4 linked regions of the Canis lupus familiaris genome follow. The protein of the gene in region 2 binds, or shares a complex with, the protein of the main gene of each other region. Links are inferred from orthologs where the notes say so. Each region holds a gene or a part of one and is shown on either strand. Other genes may lie near its edges.

Region 1 (4,240 bases), on a different chromosome or scaffold from region 2:
TATAAAGAAATCTCAGAACACTTGTGAAATATGTTCTGAGGTAAAATAATATTACAGTTATAAGAGAATGCTAATCTGATTGTTACTTAAAGAATAAATAGCTGATTATGCACAGAAGGTAAAATTTTATTGCAATAATAGTTAACATTTTTAAAAAAAATAAATGGTAATTTCTGAAATTTGTCATTCTTATATTGCTCTATAAAAATTTAGTAAAAAATATTTTTAACCTTTCCAAGTGAACAAATGTAGAAACAACAGTGTTTGCTGAATTAACTCTTCAAATATTAACCACTAAGTATTCTTTAGTGTTTTCCAGTTACTCATTAACCATTTTATACTGTTATTGTTTCTCCGATTGTCGGTGATTTCCACCAGGGAAAGTTGAAAAACGTTTCTCTAGATCAGAAAAATGGTCAGATTTATTAACAACATCCCCCTTGCTCACCATATATTCATTATTAAAAGTCCACTACATATTTGGGACCTATAAATCCTAATTCAAAAATTAAACCCAAAGTTATGTTGTTGTGCAGTTTATGGTTCCTTATATATGGCTTTATTGTCCTCAACATTTCCTTGGTGTAAACTACTAAGCGAGGGAACAAGATTTCTTTTGTAATTGATACCTAAATTTCTATTCTGCTTTAAGCATCTAATTTGCACTGTGAAGACATATAATCTGAGACTTGTAGCTATATCATGAAAGTACAACAGTTTACGCTGATCTCTAATTTTCAGAGTTGTACTGGCTATAATTTACATTTTTTTCATGATTTTAACTGAAATGCAAACCAGTATACATCAGGAACCTTTGTATATTGACAGTGACTGGGAAAAGGATGCCTTGTTCTGATTTCAGATAAGCATTCTCTTTTCACAACTGCAGGTGCAAGGGAACCCATTCATAGTGTTTGCTCCAAACCAATTATAGTCACTAGATGGAAATACAATGCTATTACATGAGAACTTGACTAATCTTTACATGCACAAAGAATATTTTTAAAGTATTGTTATTAGTAGTAAATTCTAGAGGCAAGTAGCACTTTTTTCTCTATGCACTGGGGATGAAATATACTCTGTTGACACAGTCTTGGTCATTTTAGTATTGTGTGTGTGTTCTACTTTGTCAAATAATAACCCAAGATGGAATTACACTCAGTGGAAAATCTGCTGCAATCAATGCATAGTTCCACTGAAGAGATAATTGATAATGAATGCTACTATTTCCTTTGCCTTCAAATTTCACTTATTTTGTAATAAACATTTAAGCCAAAAAATAACCTCAAGATAGAAATTTACTCTAATTGCTCTCATTTCACATAACTGGGTAAATCTCCTGTTGAAACAAATATTAGACAACTATTAGTGCAACAAATGAGTGAACTAGCTGGATGTTTCCATGTTGAACTCTTATTTATAAGATTATGACTTGATCGTTTTTATTAGCTTCAGGCAGAAACATGGCACATCAATTCAAAGCATAAGAGAAAATTTTAATCTACAAAACAACCACAACTCTACTTCAACAGGAGAGGTCGGAGAAAGGTGCTAGCAGAATTTAAGGGCTTGATAACCAAACACAGATAAAGCAAATTTATTTTTTAATTGGCAATAATCATTGCCTTGGCAAAAATAAATGTGTGGCTTATATTTAAAACCAAGAAGAACTCATCCCAAATTGATGATTACTGTTATTACTTACTGTATGTTTTACTGTTTGCTAACAAGCCAGGATAGCCACCTTAAATCTGCGTGTAATTCAAAGGGGCCAACACACCTTTTCATACACTATTTGACTTGAGCTTTTCTTGTGACTTAGGGAGGGAGATCCTGTCCTCATTTGTAAAATCAGGACAATAAACATTATAAAGAAGTATCCTTTCCAAATCAAGGCAATTCTATAGAAGTGGCTTGCCTGGATTGAAAGCTGTCAATCCTGGTCTAGGTTTCTGTCTCAGGGTCTCAGTCTCAGGGGCTGATCTGACTGAAGCATCAGTTAGCTAGGACCCTATTTTTATTTTTTAAACTGAAAAAGTGGTGACTTAGAGAATATTTTTCGATTGTGTTCAATTCCTTCAGGCTGAGAGCACTATGATAGAAGAAACTTTTATGCAGCCATCCTCTTCTTTCCTGGACTCAAAACCAGAAATGTCACTCCCATTATACCAGTGTATTCTCAGCCTTGAATCAAATGCTAGTGGTACATGCAAAACGATGAGGGGCATCCTCAAAGATGCCTTCAAGGAGGATGCCCTGAAGGATGGAGCAGAACCCCTAAGCTGGTTTACGTAAATAGGAGCTCTCCCTCTTCCAAACTTCCATTCTTTTACTGCTTCCCCCAATCCCGGGAGCAACACACAGAGTGTCCTCGTACAGTTAGTTATTGCTGTCACTCGGGGCGGAAATACTTGACACCTGGCCCCCCTCAGGCCGCCTGAAAGGAGGACGCTGCCACACACCCGCCCTTCTAAAGTTCTCAGGACGGATGGAGGCTGACACTGGGTCACTTACCTGGCCGGGATGTTCCTCGTCACAGCCCAGGACCTTTGGGGAGGAGAAGAAAACAAAAGAAAACCAAACAACTTACCACTTTGGCCCAGTCCAAGAACAACTAAAAGCACCCAGGCCGCCCGAAGGAACGGGGCTGGACCCGGCCGGCAGTTTTGCAGGCGGACAAATGCGGCGGCAAAAAAAGCCAGAGCGGAGCGGCACATACTGCAAAGCAGCCCGCACCGCGCCCGCCGCCTGGCCGCTCTCCGGGGCGCACCTCGGGGCCCGCGGGCCGAGTGCCGCTAGGCGGTTGCCCGCAGGCCCTGCGGGCGGACCCCGCGGCTCGGAACCAGCGGTGCAGGTACGCCGGCCCGGACGCCGCTGGGCATCTCAGGGCCCCCGAGGCCCTGCCAGCACGGCGCGCCGGGGCCCGCGACCTCCGCGAGAAGCACCTCCTCTGACGGTCAATGGCCCGGGGCGGCGACGCGAGCGCAGGCTCCGCAGCCCGCTCCGGGACAAAGAAAAGAGCTTTTGTTTCTCTCCAGCCGACGGGGCTTCTGCTGCATAAATCAGCTTAGGGAACAGCCAAACGGAATCAAACCCAAACAAAGCCCGAAGCCCGGGGGAAAAACCAGCCTAAAGTGCTATCACTGGGTGATGCTGCCTCGGTGGGAGGGGACGCCGGCGAGGCCGAGGGGGGAAAAAGTCGATGGCGCATCAATCAGCGCGAGCTTCTTCCACAGGTGGGCAGGGAGGCCGATTCCACTTGGTTACAGCCCTGCAGCCGCGTCAGCTGAGCGGCGGGCAAAGTCAAAGCGGCAACGTCCTGGCTGGCGAGGGAGGAAGCGCGGGCTGCCAGCGGCTGGGAGAAGCGGCTCCGGCAGCACCTCAGAAGCCGCGGCCGGCGCCCGCGGGCGCGGAGGGAGGCATAGCAGCTCCCCGCTCGGCCGGGACCGGGGCGCACGGCCGCTAGCGCGGGAGGGGAGGCTCGGCGAGGGTGCCGTAGCCCGGCCTCGCGGGGCGGGAGCTTCGTGCCCTCGTCCTTTTGGCCCCAGCGTGCCCCGCTCAGGCGTCCCGCCGGCCAGCACCCGGGCAGCTGGCGCGCTCTGGGGTGCACCCCCGAGGAGGCGCGAGGAGCGAGGCCGGCGAGGGGCGGGGGAGCGGCGGTCCTGCTCCGGGCCGGGGCGGCGGGGCGGCGGGGCGGCGGGGCGGCGGGGCGGGGGGAGGGCTCCCGAAGTGCCGCGAGCTGGGCGCGCTCGGGGCCGCGAGTTGCTAGGAAACAGCCCCACGCTACCCAGCGCCTCGCCCCGGCCGCCTGCAGGCGCAGCGGCGGCTCCGGCGGCGGCGGCAAGAGCTCCGAGCAGCGTGGGCGGGACATTGGTGAGGCATGAAGTCACCGCGGCCCACACTCGCTCTTTGTTTTGCTCACTCCGGCTCCTTTTTTCTCCCCCTTGGCTCTGATAGTTGTCATGCCCACCGTTCACAAGAGCTCCTGATGCGTGGCCGCGCAACAAGAATCGCTCCCCCTGTTCCCTCTCCCCCTGCTCGCCGAATCCCTACACCCCCACGCTCCCTTGGACCGTTTGGAGATTCGCTCAGTCCTAACGGCAGCTGCGCACAAACCCCCAGCCTCTCCCCCGGGCACTCTGCGCTCCTTTGTTCCGAGATACTCACTGCCCGGCAGCTGCAGCATAGAGTGGAGCAGGGGGCCTCTCCCCGCCCCCAACACCCTCTGGTCCGCGGGTGC
Region 2 (3,735 bases):
CAGTTCCTGCTTTGTAGGATAATTAGAAAGATTGAATGAGTTACTGCATGTGAAGTCTTACAGTGGTGCTTGACGTGTAATGCTCCACAAAAGCTGGTGATTGTTGTCATCACTCTGAGTCGTCTACCTAGACAGAGCCAGGTCACCATCTCCCACTATCACCTGTCCCCTAACCCTGACTGTCCCTCACACATCTATCTGCACCCTTGACTTTATTTCTTTTTTAAAGATTTATTTATTTATTTTGGAGAGAGAGGGCAGCCCCGGTGGCCCAGCAGTTTAGTGCCGCCTTCAGCCCAGGGTGTGACCCTGGAGACCCGGGATCGAGTCCCACGTCAGGCTCCCTGCATGGAGCCTGCTTCTCCCTCTGCCTGTGTCTCTGCCTCTCTCTCTCTCTCTCTCTGTCATGAATAAATAAAATCTTAAAAAAAAAAAAAAGGAGAGAGAGGGGGAGAGAGAGAGAGAGAGAGCAGGTGAAAGAGGGTACATGCACAGGGAAAGGGGCAGAGGGAGAGGATATCCAAGCAGACTCGAGTGAGGAGCCCGATGTGGGGCTCGATCTCGTGGCCCCTGAGATCAGGACCTGAACCAAAACCAGAGTCAGATGCTCAACTGAATGAGCCACCAGGAGCCTCTGCACCTTGACTTTCTAACTCACAGAATCACAGAACTTGCCCACTCCAGGTCTCTTGTGGCCTACTGTGAGTCCTTCTGGGTAATAGGAAGTACACCCTGTAGCCCATTTCAGCCACCCCGGCTCCTTCCTTCAACGGCCTTAAACCAGGAAGATGACGCTCCTATGGCATCCGCCTCTATTCACGCCTTGTTCCCTGGCTGGGCATCGGCTTCCTTGTTATATATTAGCCCCATCCCTCTCCACAAGAGCTAACCTTCTGGAACAGGAGTCTTCAAGCTCAGCAAGTGTCAGTGGGTCCGAGAGGCAGCCCTGGCTTGGAGCAGGACAGATCAGACTGGGTTCTGGAGTTTATGGAAGAACCTATGGGCTTGAGCCATTCTGTACATGGGCCGGGTGTGAGCTGCCTTGGACTCTGGTGTTTTCCCTGATGACCAGATTTCAAGAAGATCTCGGGGTGGCCCCAAGCCTGGCTGCTCACAGAGTGAGGGAGCACAGTGAATCAGTCAGCTTGCTGAGATGCTGATCCCGAACCCGCAGGGGTCCCTTCCCCATGACCTCCCTACACCACAGCTTGCTGCTGCTGCCTCTGGGCTGACAGAGCCTCCCTGGCTGCGTCTTAACCCACCAAAGTTGACACAACACCAGACCCTTCCTGGTCTCCTTGCACAAAACTACTGGATTCAGTTCAGATGTTTCTCTTCTTCTTCTTCTTTTTCTCTCCCTCCAGTTTACTCAACCCGTTTTACTAAGTTCCTTGCTTCCCCAGTTTTGGTAGCCCCAGCACCACTAGTAGGAGAAAGGGCCACAGCTGGCCTTCTCACACCAGAGTCTCTGTCAGCAACCCTGGCATCTCCACATGTCCTCCTGCTGGTTCTCTCCGAGCTTGTGTCATCTGGGCCCTTGGCCCTTGGCCAGTTCCTCCGGCCTGTGCTCCGATTTCACAACGTCTTCCCGAGCTGCTCGTTTTCCCCCAGTGAGCCATCCACATCTCCGGCTTGCCCATGAAGTGAACAGGGATTCCCAGAGAAGATACTTCCAAGTAACTTTGACCTCGTTCTGTCCTTACCCCTGAAGGAAACTATGGCCAAAGGTCACTGTGATTTTCATCTTCTCTCCTCTGCAAACCACCACTCCCTTTATACCCACCGTCATGGCCCTGGTAGAAAGGCTGGCATCTTCCCTGCAGACTGATTCTGCTGTTGGTCTGCAGGTGGCCTCGCCTCTAGCATCGCTTCCTGACTCCTAATCCTGGGGCTCAGACTCTGCCATCCTCCTCCCATCTGGAGGGATTTGTGGCCTTTTGAGTCGCAGCCTCTCCACTCCGCAGTTCTTCAGTGAGCCCCCCTCCCTGGCCTCCCCCGGGCCCCCCGCCTCCCATGTCATCGTTCCTCAGCAGGCTGGCTCGCATATCTCCTCGCCCAGCAAACACCTCTGCGGTGTGGTGGCTGTTTTTTCTCCCTTCCTATAACCTCATTCTTTTGCCCCCACGTAGGCAGGTGACAATTTTTTCCCAATATCATCCTCTGAAAAGAGATGCCTATGAAAATTCTCCTTCGGGGCGCCTGGGTGGTGCTGTCGGTTAAGTATCTGACTCTCGGTTTCGGCTCAGGTCATGATCTCAGGGTCCTGGGATTGAGCCCCTTGTGGGGCTCCACACTCAGCATGGAGTCTGCTTGAGATTCTCTCTCTCCCTCTCCTCCTGCCCCTCCCCCTGCTCTCACACACACACTTAGGCATTCTCTCCCTCTCTCTCAAGTAAATAAAGCTTTAAAAAAGAGGGGGAATTCTCCTTTATAATGCCCCTTAATTGATGCCTTTTTTTGGTTCAACAGAAACACCTGCAATGTGGTAACACATGTGGAGGTCCACTCTAGCTTTGGTGGTACTTCCTGTCCCCTGTGACCTTCAGTATTTCTCAGCTCCTGTGACTGCCCTGGCTGGAGCAGAGGCCCTGGCCCACTGTGCACGGTGATGGGCACACTTCCCCATCACATAAAGAATTTTCTCACTGATTCCGTGTCTTATTTTGCAGAGTCCAACTTAGGTCTGGAAATCAGCATTCATTGTCCATGTCACACCTTTCAGCCCAATGGAGACATCCTAGAAAACATCCATGAGGTGATGGAAATCAAATTCAAAGGTAACAAAATGGATGTGTATAGTAGGTGGAGGGGACCTGATGGGGCGGCATAGAACAGGAGACCCCTACCAAGGCCCCAAGGAAAGCAACCAAACTCCCTCACAGAGACGGCCACCTATCTCATAGTAGAGTAATTCTGCTTCGCTCCAAAGGCAAGGCGTGTGACTTTCAGTTTATAGATAGAATTTGTTAGCATCTGGGAGACAGTGTAACGTTGGGAAGGGTGGTGCGGTCATGCAGGCCAATGGGTCCACCTCTCCGAATTCAGTCAGTAAAAGGGAGACGAGAATACCTCTTTCACAGGGTTATCACACAAATTGAATGAGGTAACAAACGTAAAACATGGTGCCACAACGCTCCACATATAGTAGCTGTCTTCCCCTTCCCTAGAAGAAGTGAACTGCGGTGACCAGGGTTACAGGTGTCCTGACTACTGACCTTTTCAGATATCTCAGAGGCCACCTGATTCCCACCCAGGAGTCATCCGGATTTGAATGACTGCTTTGGGGCTCAGGGTATTTGTGTTACGATGGAGAAACAGTTGAGAGTCCTTTCTGGTTTTCCAGACGGTTTCTGAGGCGCTCAATCTTTGGGCAGTCTCTGGATTTCAGGGAAGTTCTCTTTCCTCTCACGGTCCCGTTTTGGATTAACTGAGGCACACCCAGAGCCAGGTGGTTCCTCAAGATGGAACCAACCAAGCCAGAGCCTGAGGGCAGAGGCTTGTCTGGGAAAAGATGCAGCCTCTCTTGGCTCCCAGGCCCGGGCAGTCCTCTTCCCCTTCACGGGCTTGATTTCAGGCCACCCCCTCCCCTTCTTTTTAAAGCCAAGCATCCAGCATCCTAATCACAGAACCTCAGAGCTCAGAAGACCTCTGGGGTCCTTAGCTATGGGACAGGTCAGGACTAGATCCTTCCACCTAGTAAACAGTTATCTTGTTCATAAAGATTCTCAGAAAAGG
Region 3 (4,249 bases), on a different chromosome or scaffold from region 2:
TAAGGAGATGCTCTATAAATACTGCTGAAAAGAAAAAATGAGTAATGGTCGTTTATTACAATGGCACCAATGAGACATAATTCTTAATTGGAAAAATGGGGTTAAAAAATAAAGAAAAATTTTAAAAGTTGTGTTGATAACAAAGGGTTGGTAAACTAAAATGGAAACCATGTTGCAGTTATGCTAGCTCCCCAGACAAGAATGAGGATTCATCACAGTGGGGTGCTACCTTGAAAAAAAGGGGCAATAAATCCAAAGTATGACAGATACTTGTATAGATCAAAACTGGTGAAAATTAAAGGAAGTGGCAGAAAAATGGTTCTTCTAAAATGCAATAGACCAAAGATCAAATTCTGGACCTAGATCTCTAGTCTCTGACCCTAACGAAGAGAAGTACATCATTAACATAATTTTAGGAAAGAAGTTTATCTGTATGACACTTTACCAATACTGAGTCCTCAACAGAAATTTCTTGTTAGGTATTTGAAAAGTAACAGTCATATTTTTCAGATCTGAAGAGTTTTCTGACATTTAAGATTTTCCCCTAAAGAGTAATTACTTAATTTGGGGCATTTAGGAAGGGTGGATCTACAAAATTAAAAAAAAATAAATAAGAATTAAGCATATTTCTCAGTGAAGTTTGTTCTTATCAAATCCATTAAACAGAAGATGGACCTTTTTGGGTGGCCTAATAGGACTCCGTTAGCCATCTAATTATCTCATATCTTATCACACAGTAAGATATTTTGAAAAATGTCTTGACGGTTTACCAATTATTTTAGAAAAATCCTGAAACCGCCTACTTACACAGAAAATTAGAATGCAACTGGAAGTAAGTTTCTCGTTTTCATTATAGCTACCTTCTACCTTCAACTATCTTTGAAAATTTAATTTCAAATGAGTAAAATTCCAAAATGCTTCCTTAGTTCAAAGTTGGCACCTTTAATTCCATCAAAATATGAAATCTGTGGGTTTTTAAAAACCGATCAAAGTCCAAATAAAAAGCCACTGGGCTTTTAAGTTGATTGTTTAAAAAGTATACAGATGAAATGAAACTGACTCATGAACTACTGAGTCTGGGATTTGAAAATTCATAAATCTAATCCTTGTAAACAAAATCTAACAAAATCAGGATCTGTTGATTTCCTTCTTCCGTAACCTGAAACAAAAGTTTTAATGATTTGTAACATGCTCAGAAAATTAAGGGTGCCACTTAAAATCTTTATTAGCAACATATAAGTCAGTTTTTAAGTGCCTGGAGCATGATCAGAGACACTTGGACATACATTCTGGTACTGCAATGTAGAACATCGGAGAATGAGACAGTAGGACTTTATGAAATTCAAATTTGTGTTAGGATTTTTTGGTTCACAACAGTCCCTTTTTCTCACTCCATTCAGAACTCCCATCTCCGTGCCACTTTCCATAAGAAACTTAATTTTAAAAAGATCTCAATCCACTTCGAATACTCTGAAAGGTTACCATTTAGAACTTGGTGCTAATTTCTTCTAGACAACCCAAAAGGTAAGGCTGCCTGGGGCCCTAGTGGATGAAGGAGTGCCTGGGGGTGATGTGGGCTGTCAGAGCCTCTATACTTCATCCCAAGTTTACACAGGGCATTTCCAAGTCACCAAAGGGGGAAGAGAGCGGCAAGAAGAGCCACAGATGAAGGGGATGTCAACTTATCCAGATGGAACCATTTTACAGATGAGGAAGCTGAGGGCCTGAGGCCTTGCAGATCCTCACTTATGTGGATCACTGCTTCAAAAATAAGTAGCCTCTAAGGTCGGGGAAGGGCGGGGGGGTGGAGTTCGGTCCTTTCCCTAACACATAAGAACTCCATTCCTGCATTTTTCACATTGGAAACCCTCCAGACCAGGGAGCACAGTTAGGATTTAGGCTTCCCATTTCCCTCAAAGGTCACTTGCGGGGAACCATCACCTCCGGGACGGCAGGGCGGTCTCGCCGCGGGCGGCCTGTGCAGCACCCGGCACCCAGCACCCGGCACCCGGCACCCGGCACCCAGCGCCCAGCACCCAGCAGGCACCGTGTGCACAATTCCCCGCCCGCCACCTGACAGCCCCGCTCCCCGCCGCTCCCTGCCCGGCCCACGGTGCGGCCGGAGAACTTTCCTTGGGAAATCGCTTCGTTCCCTGGAACTTGCAGACAGCGACTCCGGGCCCAGAGGCCGGCCTGGGGGACCCGGGGCTGGGGGGCCGCGGGCGGGGGCGGGGGCGGGGGCGGGGGGCGCGGGTGGGCGCGCGCCGCATCCCCCCGGCCGCGGCGACCCCAGGTGCGCCGGCCGCCCCGCGGCCTCGGCGGGCTCGGCTCGGGGCCGCGGCTCCCCTGCCTCCCTCGGATGCCCGAGCAACTCCTCAAACTTCCCTTTCCGGGGGTGGGGGCCCGCCTCGGACGCGGCCGGCGCGGCGCCTCTCCCGGCCGCACAAAGGGGGCCCGGCGCGCCCCGCGCCCCTTCCCCGTGAACTTCCCCGCGCGGGGGTGCCGGGCTGCGCGGCTCGGCCGCGGGCGCCCTCCGCTTCCGCCCGGCCGCTGTCAAGCCCCGCGGGGACCCCCGGCGCCCCGCCAGAGCCCGCCCGGGGCACTCACCCGACTTCAGGACCTGCGGCGGGATCGTGCTGGCGATGCGCGTCCACAGGACGATGTGCAGCGGCCACAGGCCCCGGAGCAGCCCCCGACCCATGGCAGCCCCCGCCGCTCGTCATAGACCGAGCCCGAGCCCGAGCCCGAGCGCAGCGCACGGCGCCTCCCGGAGCCCCGGCTGCGCCTCCGCGCCGCGCCCTCGCGGGACCCCGCGCGGGCCGGGCGGGCAGATGCGCGGCCCAGATGTGGCGCCGCTCGGCAGCCGCGCGGGGGCGGGGGCGGGGGCGGGGGCGGGGGGCCTGAGGCCGGGGCGGCGCGGGGCGGCGCGGGAGGCCCCCGGCGGCCGAGGGGAGCTGCGCAGGAGGCCGGCGCCCGGCCCGGCGAGCGCGCGCGCGGGGGTGTCCTCGCTCGGTGCGCGCGAGTGACTCACTCCGCTTCGCCCGGGCGCCGCGGGGGAAACAGGAAACTCCTCGCCAACAGCTGGGCAGGACCTCTCGCCGCCCGAAAGCCTGCTCCCGCGGCTCGGCCTCCAGCCCTCCTCTCCCCCGCCTGCCAATCACGTCCCCGAGACCGGCCCCTCCGAGGGATTTGGCGAACTGGCGGCCGCCCCCGGCGCCCTCGGGAGCTCCCGGCGCCCCCGGGGCACGCGCTCCGCTCGGGGCAGCCGCGGGGCGCGCAGAGGGGCGCACTCTTCCGGGCACCCCCTCGGAGCATCCTCCGCCTTGCCCCAGGTGCCCCGGGGCCGTGTCTGCGGACCCCCGAGTGCCCGACGCCCGGGTGCGTCCCGAGACGGGAGTCGCGAGCACAGTGTTTTGTGTGTGTTTGCTTCGGGGCCCGCAGCCTGTACGGCCGCACTAAACTTTGCTTTCGGTTGCGCGTATGCACACACCGCCGCTTTGCGAGATGTTCTTCTCAGCTGCAGGTCGAAGTCCGGAAGTTTTGTTTTGTTTTGTGTTGTTGCAACCCCGCCCTTGACTGTGCATCTCCACCACCTGAGTATCTTGCTTAAAACGCGGATTTTGACCCGGGATGTCCGCCCGAGGTGCGCAGCGTTTCTGACGGCCCCTTGAGAGCTGCCTCCGACTTTGAGTTGCCTCCCCCTGGGGGTGCTTCGGGGAGTTAAGTGTAAATAAGCAGTCCCCACGGAGTGATGGGGGCGGGGGGGCGCATTTTAGGTTTAGAATGTCCCGAGTATGGCAGAAAATGCACATAGAAAAGTGGCCTGGGAGTCAGCTCAGTGCCAGGGTTTGCATTCCAACACTGCCCCTGAAGACAGACAGTCCTTAGAGTCACCTCCGCCTAAGGAGAAACAAGGATCAACTTTCGACTCTCCCTTCTTGCGAGGGTGACCAGCTTTGCCCTAGAAAGATCCTGGGGGACACCTTTGAAGTTTAATTATTACAGACCCACTCTCTTCTTTCCCGTGGGTCTTGGTTGGGTAAGGAATTGTATGCTCATTTTTACTCCCAACTCTCAAAGACTTGGGTTCTGTATAGCTTGCCCACCAGGAGACCTTCCAGCAGGTTACACAACGAACTTCCTTTATCTAAGACAAAGAGTATTTGCAGAGGCAGGTGGCCAGGCTCACTGGGAAGAAAAGCAAATAGCACTCCCCAGAAACCCAACTCCAGAAAACGTCCCTGTCAGT
Region 4 (4,031 bases), on a different chromosome or scaffold from region 2:
GCACAGTGTTCAACGGAAGAGTTACTCATTCTGATTTGTAATTTTGAAATATAAGCAATGGTGGAATGTTGGTGAATTGGAGGTGGGAGATTGGTTGGAAAGTTATTACAGCAACCAGGCAAAGTGGATGAAATGTAATGACAGGGGACACGAAAGAGGAAAGATCTCTAAGGATCTGAATGGACAAGGCCTGGCCAGGATTAGAGGCTGGTGGCTGATGGTCATAAAGAAGGAAGAAAAAGAAGCCTGAGGATTTCCTGTTCAGGTACTTGGTTGAAATAATTTGATGTAGTGGAGCTGCATGCCTCAGTGAGCTTTGTGTTGTTAAACAAACAGCAGTAAAGGTCAGTTTTAATATTATTACTTGCTATACCTATGAACCCCCTATGGGGGCCTGCAAACAGGGAGGATGTTATAAAGGGGAGAAGAGGCCAGTGTATAAAGCAGATTGTGGTTGAGAATGGTCAAGTGTAAAAGTGACTGCCGACAGCGTGAAGGACGATCAAGGGCCTTCTTGTGGGGATTCCAGCTGAAACTAGCTCTCTGGGCTGGACTGGCTGGACTGGCAAGCCCATGCCCTCCCATGAGGTATGGGTGTCATCTCTGCACGCAGGCTGGGTAGATCCCCAGATGACCTTGGCCTATAGTTAGCTCTCACATCAGCTGTGGCTGGTTTCCAAAGTAGCAGCAACGGCAGCTGACAGCTTTGGAAGTGTATTTTCTTCTCAGTAAAGAAAAAGTGCCCACAAGCAATACATTTCCCAAGAAGCTACTCTTCCTGGTCTGACTAAGGGCTTCTGTGGAGAAAATATGCAATGTTTCCATAAGGCTGTTTAAAAAAAAAAGAAGAAGAAGAAGGAATCACTTTTCTCTTGAGGCAAAACACCTTGAACCTCTTGGGGGGACTTAGAAGAATCAAACCATTACATTCTATCTTGGAAAATATGTCAAAGAAATGCCTGCGTGCTTGCCTTAGTTCATTAGAGACTCTTTCCCCCTTCTTCAGATCATAATAAAAATGAATGAGAATATAGGGGTTCAAAGGCAGAGAAGGACTCTAACCCTAACAGATCAGAAGTCTATGCCTACTTTGGAGATCTGACGTTGGAATACAAGAACCTAAGCTTGAGACTCTCCAATCAAAAATTCTCGCAATCACTTAGAGTTCATGTCAAAACATCTGGTGGCAAGTGTGCTTCAGTGTATGATAACCGGGGAAAATACTGAGAAATTGCAGCAACATTTTTGTGTGTGTAAATGGAGCTTTAGTTCCTGTACTTCAGCCAGAAAACACTAGAGGGAGTCAAATAGAGGAAAAGACCATCTCCGAATGCCCAGGACCGAAGAAGAGCCTGCAGAGGAAGGCCTTTCTGCATTTCCCCAAGGCACCCGGTTTTACCTAGGTAGACACTAATCTTTATACTGTGACCAAGTGACTCTCTCTACTTGAAACCCAGTGCTAAAAAACTGTAACTATGAGCTGCTGATTCTGTTCTGAATCCAAAACAGTAAAAAGAAAACCATTACTCTCTGACCAGGATCTGGATTCTGTCCATTTGAGGCATGGGGAGAGCCAATATGCCAGAACTCGGTGAGTCTTTAATTTTAGAGGACACATTCTTTGGATGAATAACCTTTCACAGATATTGGATTTTTTTTTTTTTTTTAAAGCGCTGGTAGTCATACTTTCAGTGCTCATAGTGAATAGTAATGATTACCCGGCATTTTCAGACACTTGCAGGAATAAAATGAGCTCTTCGTAAATACCCTAGACTGGAAGCCCCCCCCCCCCCACTGTCTCCACAGTTCTCATGAATTAGGTCTACATTAACACAGCATTTTACTTTTTTTTTTTATTTCTTAATTTTTAATTTTTATTTTTTAACACAGCATTTTACAATCTAGGAACACCCAAGTTAACTGGCCCAGTGTCATGCCCGTGTCAATGAGAACGGATACTTCGTCTTGTTTAAATTCCCAGTTCCTTAGTTCCTTTGTGACGCCTTGAAAATGCCACAAGACACAGGGAAGGCCAGGGCCTAAAGTTGCCTTTTTTTTTTTTTTTTTTTAAAGATGAACAATTAATCACTATAACCAGAAACAAGGATCTTAAAAAGCTGCTTAAGAAACTGTTCAACTGAATGTTAAAAATACCTTCCTGGACGATGAACTAATAACCCCATGAAATCGTGCCCTTACACCATAGCAGATTTTTGAAGTACGGCTGGTAAAAGCACGTGTGCATTCAAATGTAAGAAAAATCACAGTAAAGCATGCTCGATTAATGAGGAAGCCCCCTTTCAGAAACCGTGGGGTCAGCCTCGCCTGGACGGGAGTATCCAGAGAACAGAAGGAACGTCATGAACTTCCTAAGGCGGCGTCTGTTGGAAACGATCGGTTACACGGACGAGGAAAACTTAGTTTCGAAGTTTGGGTTTGCGTTTGTTAGTCATGCATTATAGGACTTACCTCCCAGGGCAGACCTTTACTTTCAGAAAGTGCTGAGATGCATTACTGCACCCGTTACCAAGTCTTTGGCAGAAATACCATTTATCCTTGTTGTGGTAATGAACAGATTTGTAACATTCTGGTGTCACCATTCCTGAAAAAGCACGTTCATTTGAATGTTTCTTCCACCAACCCAGGGAAATATTTCATGAAGGCACATTGGTGCGGCCTACTAGGGAGAGCTATTGCTGCTGAATGACAGAGTGTCTGGTGGATTTACATGAAACCCCAAGTGCTCGTATGAGAATAGGTTAGGTTTAGATTGACGAGCAAATGTGTAACCAGACTTCTGGCTGACAAATGGCAGAACTATGCCAGCGCATTAGCTGCCCTGGAGAGAGACCAAAAGTAAGGCGGGGGGATCAAGTTCATTCCATAAAGGACATTCGAACCTAATGGATGGCAGGGTGGCTGGGACGTGGAGCACACATAGATTGTGATACCCCAAAATAGTACCGGGCAAGTTTAGAGTCGAGCTGGCATCCGAACCAATGACCCAACTCCCATCAAATTTTCGTATATCGTGTTGGGTTGTTTATATTTACATTCCTTCAAAAGGATCCTGGTGTTTTCAGGAGAAGTCTAGTTTATTGGTGGGTCTGGCTTAAAGTCACTAGCCTCTGAAAGTGGCTTGTTTGGTTAAACTGGAAAATGAAAATAAAAACTGAGGAGATTAGTATGAAAGATGGTGCCAAACACTAAATGGTCCAAATTGGATTTGATTTGTTCCAGTTGGGCACAGCTGAGAAGAGACGTCCGTACAGCTTTTGGGAAGAAGGATGAAGTGTTTGGACCACACTCTTCTGAGGTCGAGGCCAAGAGTGCAGGGCTTTGGGTCCGCCTTCAAGGAGGTCATATGACAGATGACTGGTGCTGTTCACTGGGCCTCCGTGGTGTTCCAGTGCCATCTCAGCCCTGGAGATGCTTTATCTTTTCATTCTCACCACCGCAGTGTGGCCTGGGTTGGTGGCCTTGCTTTAGAGATTCGTTGACTTGCCCAAGGTCACATGCTGGTAAGTGACAGTCAGATTTAAACCTCAGTCTGACTCCAAAGCAGTTTCCCTCATGCCCCAGCGCCTCTTGAGCGTCTGAAGAACAGTGCTGGAGGCAGTGTGGCAGCTCACAAGCCATGTGGTACTTGAGTGCTCTGGAAGCAAGGGCAACAGAGAGCCAGGGCACCTGGGTCTGAGTCCTCGCTCTATTGTTGACTGGATACTTGATCTCAGAAAAATTCCTAAGGTCTCTGAGCTGACTCCTTGTCTATAAAGAACATGTCCTGTGTATGGTGGCTTCTTAGAAGATTTTTAAACCACCTTTCATTTCTAACCTCTATGATACCCTGGAACCTTCAAGGATCCTTACATTCTTTTGTTCACTAAGTAAACTCCTACGTGAGGAAACACTTCGATTTGGAATTCAAGAACTGACTTAATTTCTGCCATAGAGATATTATTCCTTCTCTGCAAAATTCATTTCCTCTGTGGGTTGCCCCAGCACTATCTTCTGTTTCCTGAGGGGACCGA

What was found.
Region 1: the proteins of TGFB3 (region 2) and ITGB8 are in contact, whole or in part, in a cryo-EM structure (PDB 8VS6), measured with the Homo sapiens proteins. The link is inferred for Canis lupus familiaris from reciprocal best matches to the Homo sapiens genes TGFB3 and ITGB8. Residues at the interface, in NP_001316868.1 of Homo sapiens: Gly262, Asp263, Leu264, Arg266, Leu267, Lys268; in NP_002205.1 of Homo sapiens: Ser156, Ala157, Ser158, Asn161, Arg206, Gln210, Cys211, Tyr214, Leu216, Ser247, Gly248, Asn249, Ile250, Asp251, Thr252, Glu254.
Region 3: the proteins of TGFB3 (region 2) and TGFBR2 are in contact, whole or in part, in a crystal structure (PDB 9B9F), measured with the Homo sapiens proteins. The link is inferred for Canis lupus familiaris from reciprocal best matches to the Homo sapiens genes TGFB3 and TGFBR2. Residues at the interface, in NP_001316868.1 of Homo sapiens: Arg325, Lys331, Trp332, His334, Tyr390, Tyr391, Val392, Gly393, Arg394; in NP_003233.4 of Homo sapiens: Leu50, Phe53, Asp55, Ser72, Ile73, Thr74, Ser75, Ile76, Glu78, Val100, Asp141, Glu142.
Region 4: the proteins of TGFB3 (region 2) and ITGB6 are in contact, whole or in part, in a crystal structure (PDB 4UM9), measured with the Homo sapiens proteins. The link is inferred for Canis lupus familiaris from reciprocal best matches to the Homo sapiens genes TGFB3 and ITGB6. Residues at the interface, in NP_001316868.1 of Homo sapiens: His259, Gly262, Asp263, Leu264, Arg266, Leu267, Lys268; in NP_000879.2 of Homo sapiens: Ser142, Ala143, Ser144, Asp147, Pro196, Cys197, Ser199, Ile200, Tyr202, Cys204, Ala234, Asn235, Ile236, Asp237, Thr238, Glu240, Asp271, Lys355.

What each region holds. Positions count from the first base shown.
Region 1 is NC_049235.1:34,421,243-34,425,482, reverse strand, and holds the start of ITGB8 (integrin beta-8), read right to left. Parts: upstream 2,801-4,240; 5' UTR 2,718-2,800; coding exon 2,591-2,717; intron 2,531-2,590; exon of another isoform or gene 2,515-2,530; intron 1-2,514. UniProt on the Homo sapiens protein: Integrin alpha-V:beta-8 (ITGAV:ITGB8) is a receptor for fibronectin. It recognizes the sequence R-G-D in its ligands.
Region 2 is NC_049229.1:49,244,106-49,247,840, reverse strand, and holds part of TGFB3 (transforming growth factor beta-3 proprotein), read left to right. Parts: intron 1-2,669; coding exon 2,670-2,777; intron 2,778-3,735. UniProt on the Homo sapiens protein: Transforming growth factor beta-3 proprotein: Precursor of the Latency-associated peptide (LAP) and Transforming growth factor beta-3 (TGF-beta-3) chains, which constitute the regulatory and active subunit of TGF-beta-3, respectively.
Region 3 is NC_049244.1:14,231,353-14,235,601, forward strand, and holds the start of TGFBR2 (TGF-beta receptor type-2), read right to left. Parts: upstream 2,801-4,249; 5' UTR 2,702-2,800; coding exon 2,608-2,701; intron 1-2,607. UniProt on the Homo sapiens protein: Transmembrane serine/threonine kinase forming with the TGF-beta type I serine/threonine kinase receptor, TGFBR1, the non-promiscuous receptor for the TGF-beta cytokines TGFB1, TGFB2 and TGFB3.
Region 4 is NC_049257.1:6,253,434-6,257,464, forward strand, and holds the start of ITGB6 (integrin beta-6), read right to left. Parts: upstream 2,801-4,031; 5' UTR 2,470-2,800; intron 1,592-2,469; exon of another isoform or gene 753-1,591; intron 1-752. UniProt on the Homo sapiens protein: Integrin alpha-V:beta-6 (ITGAV:ITGB6) is a receptor for fibronectin and cytotactin. It recognizes the sequence R-G-D in its ligands. Internalization of integrin alpha-V/beta-6 via clathrin-mediated endocytosis promotes carcinoma cell invasion.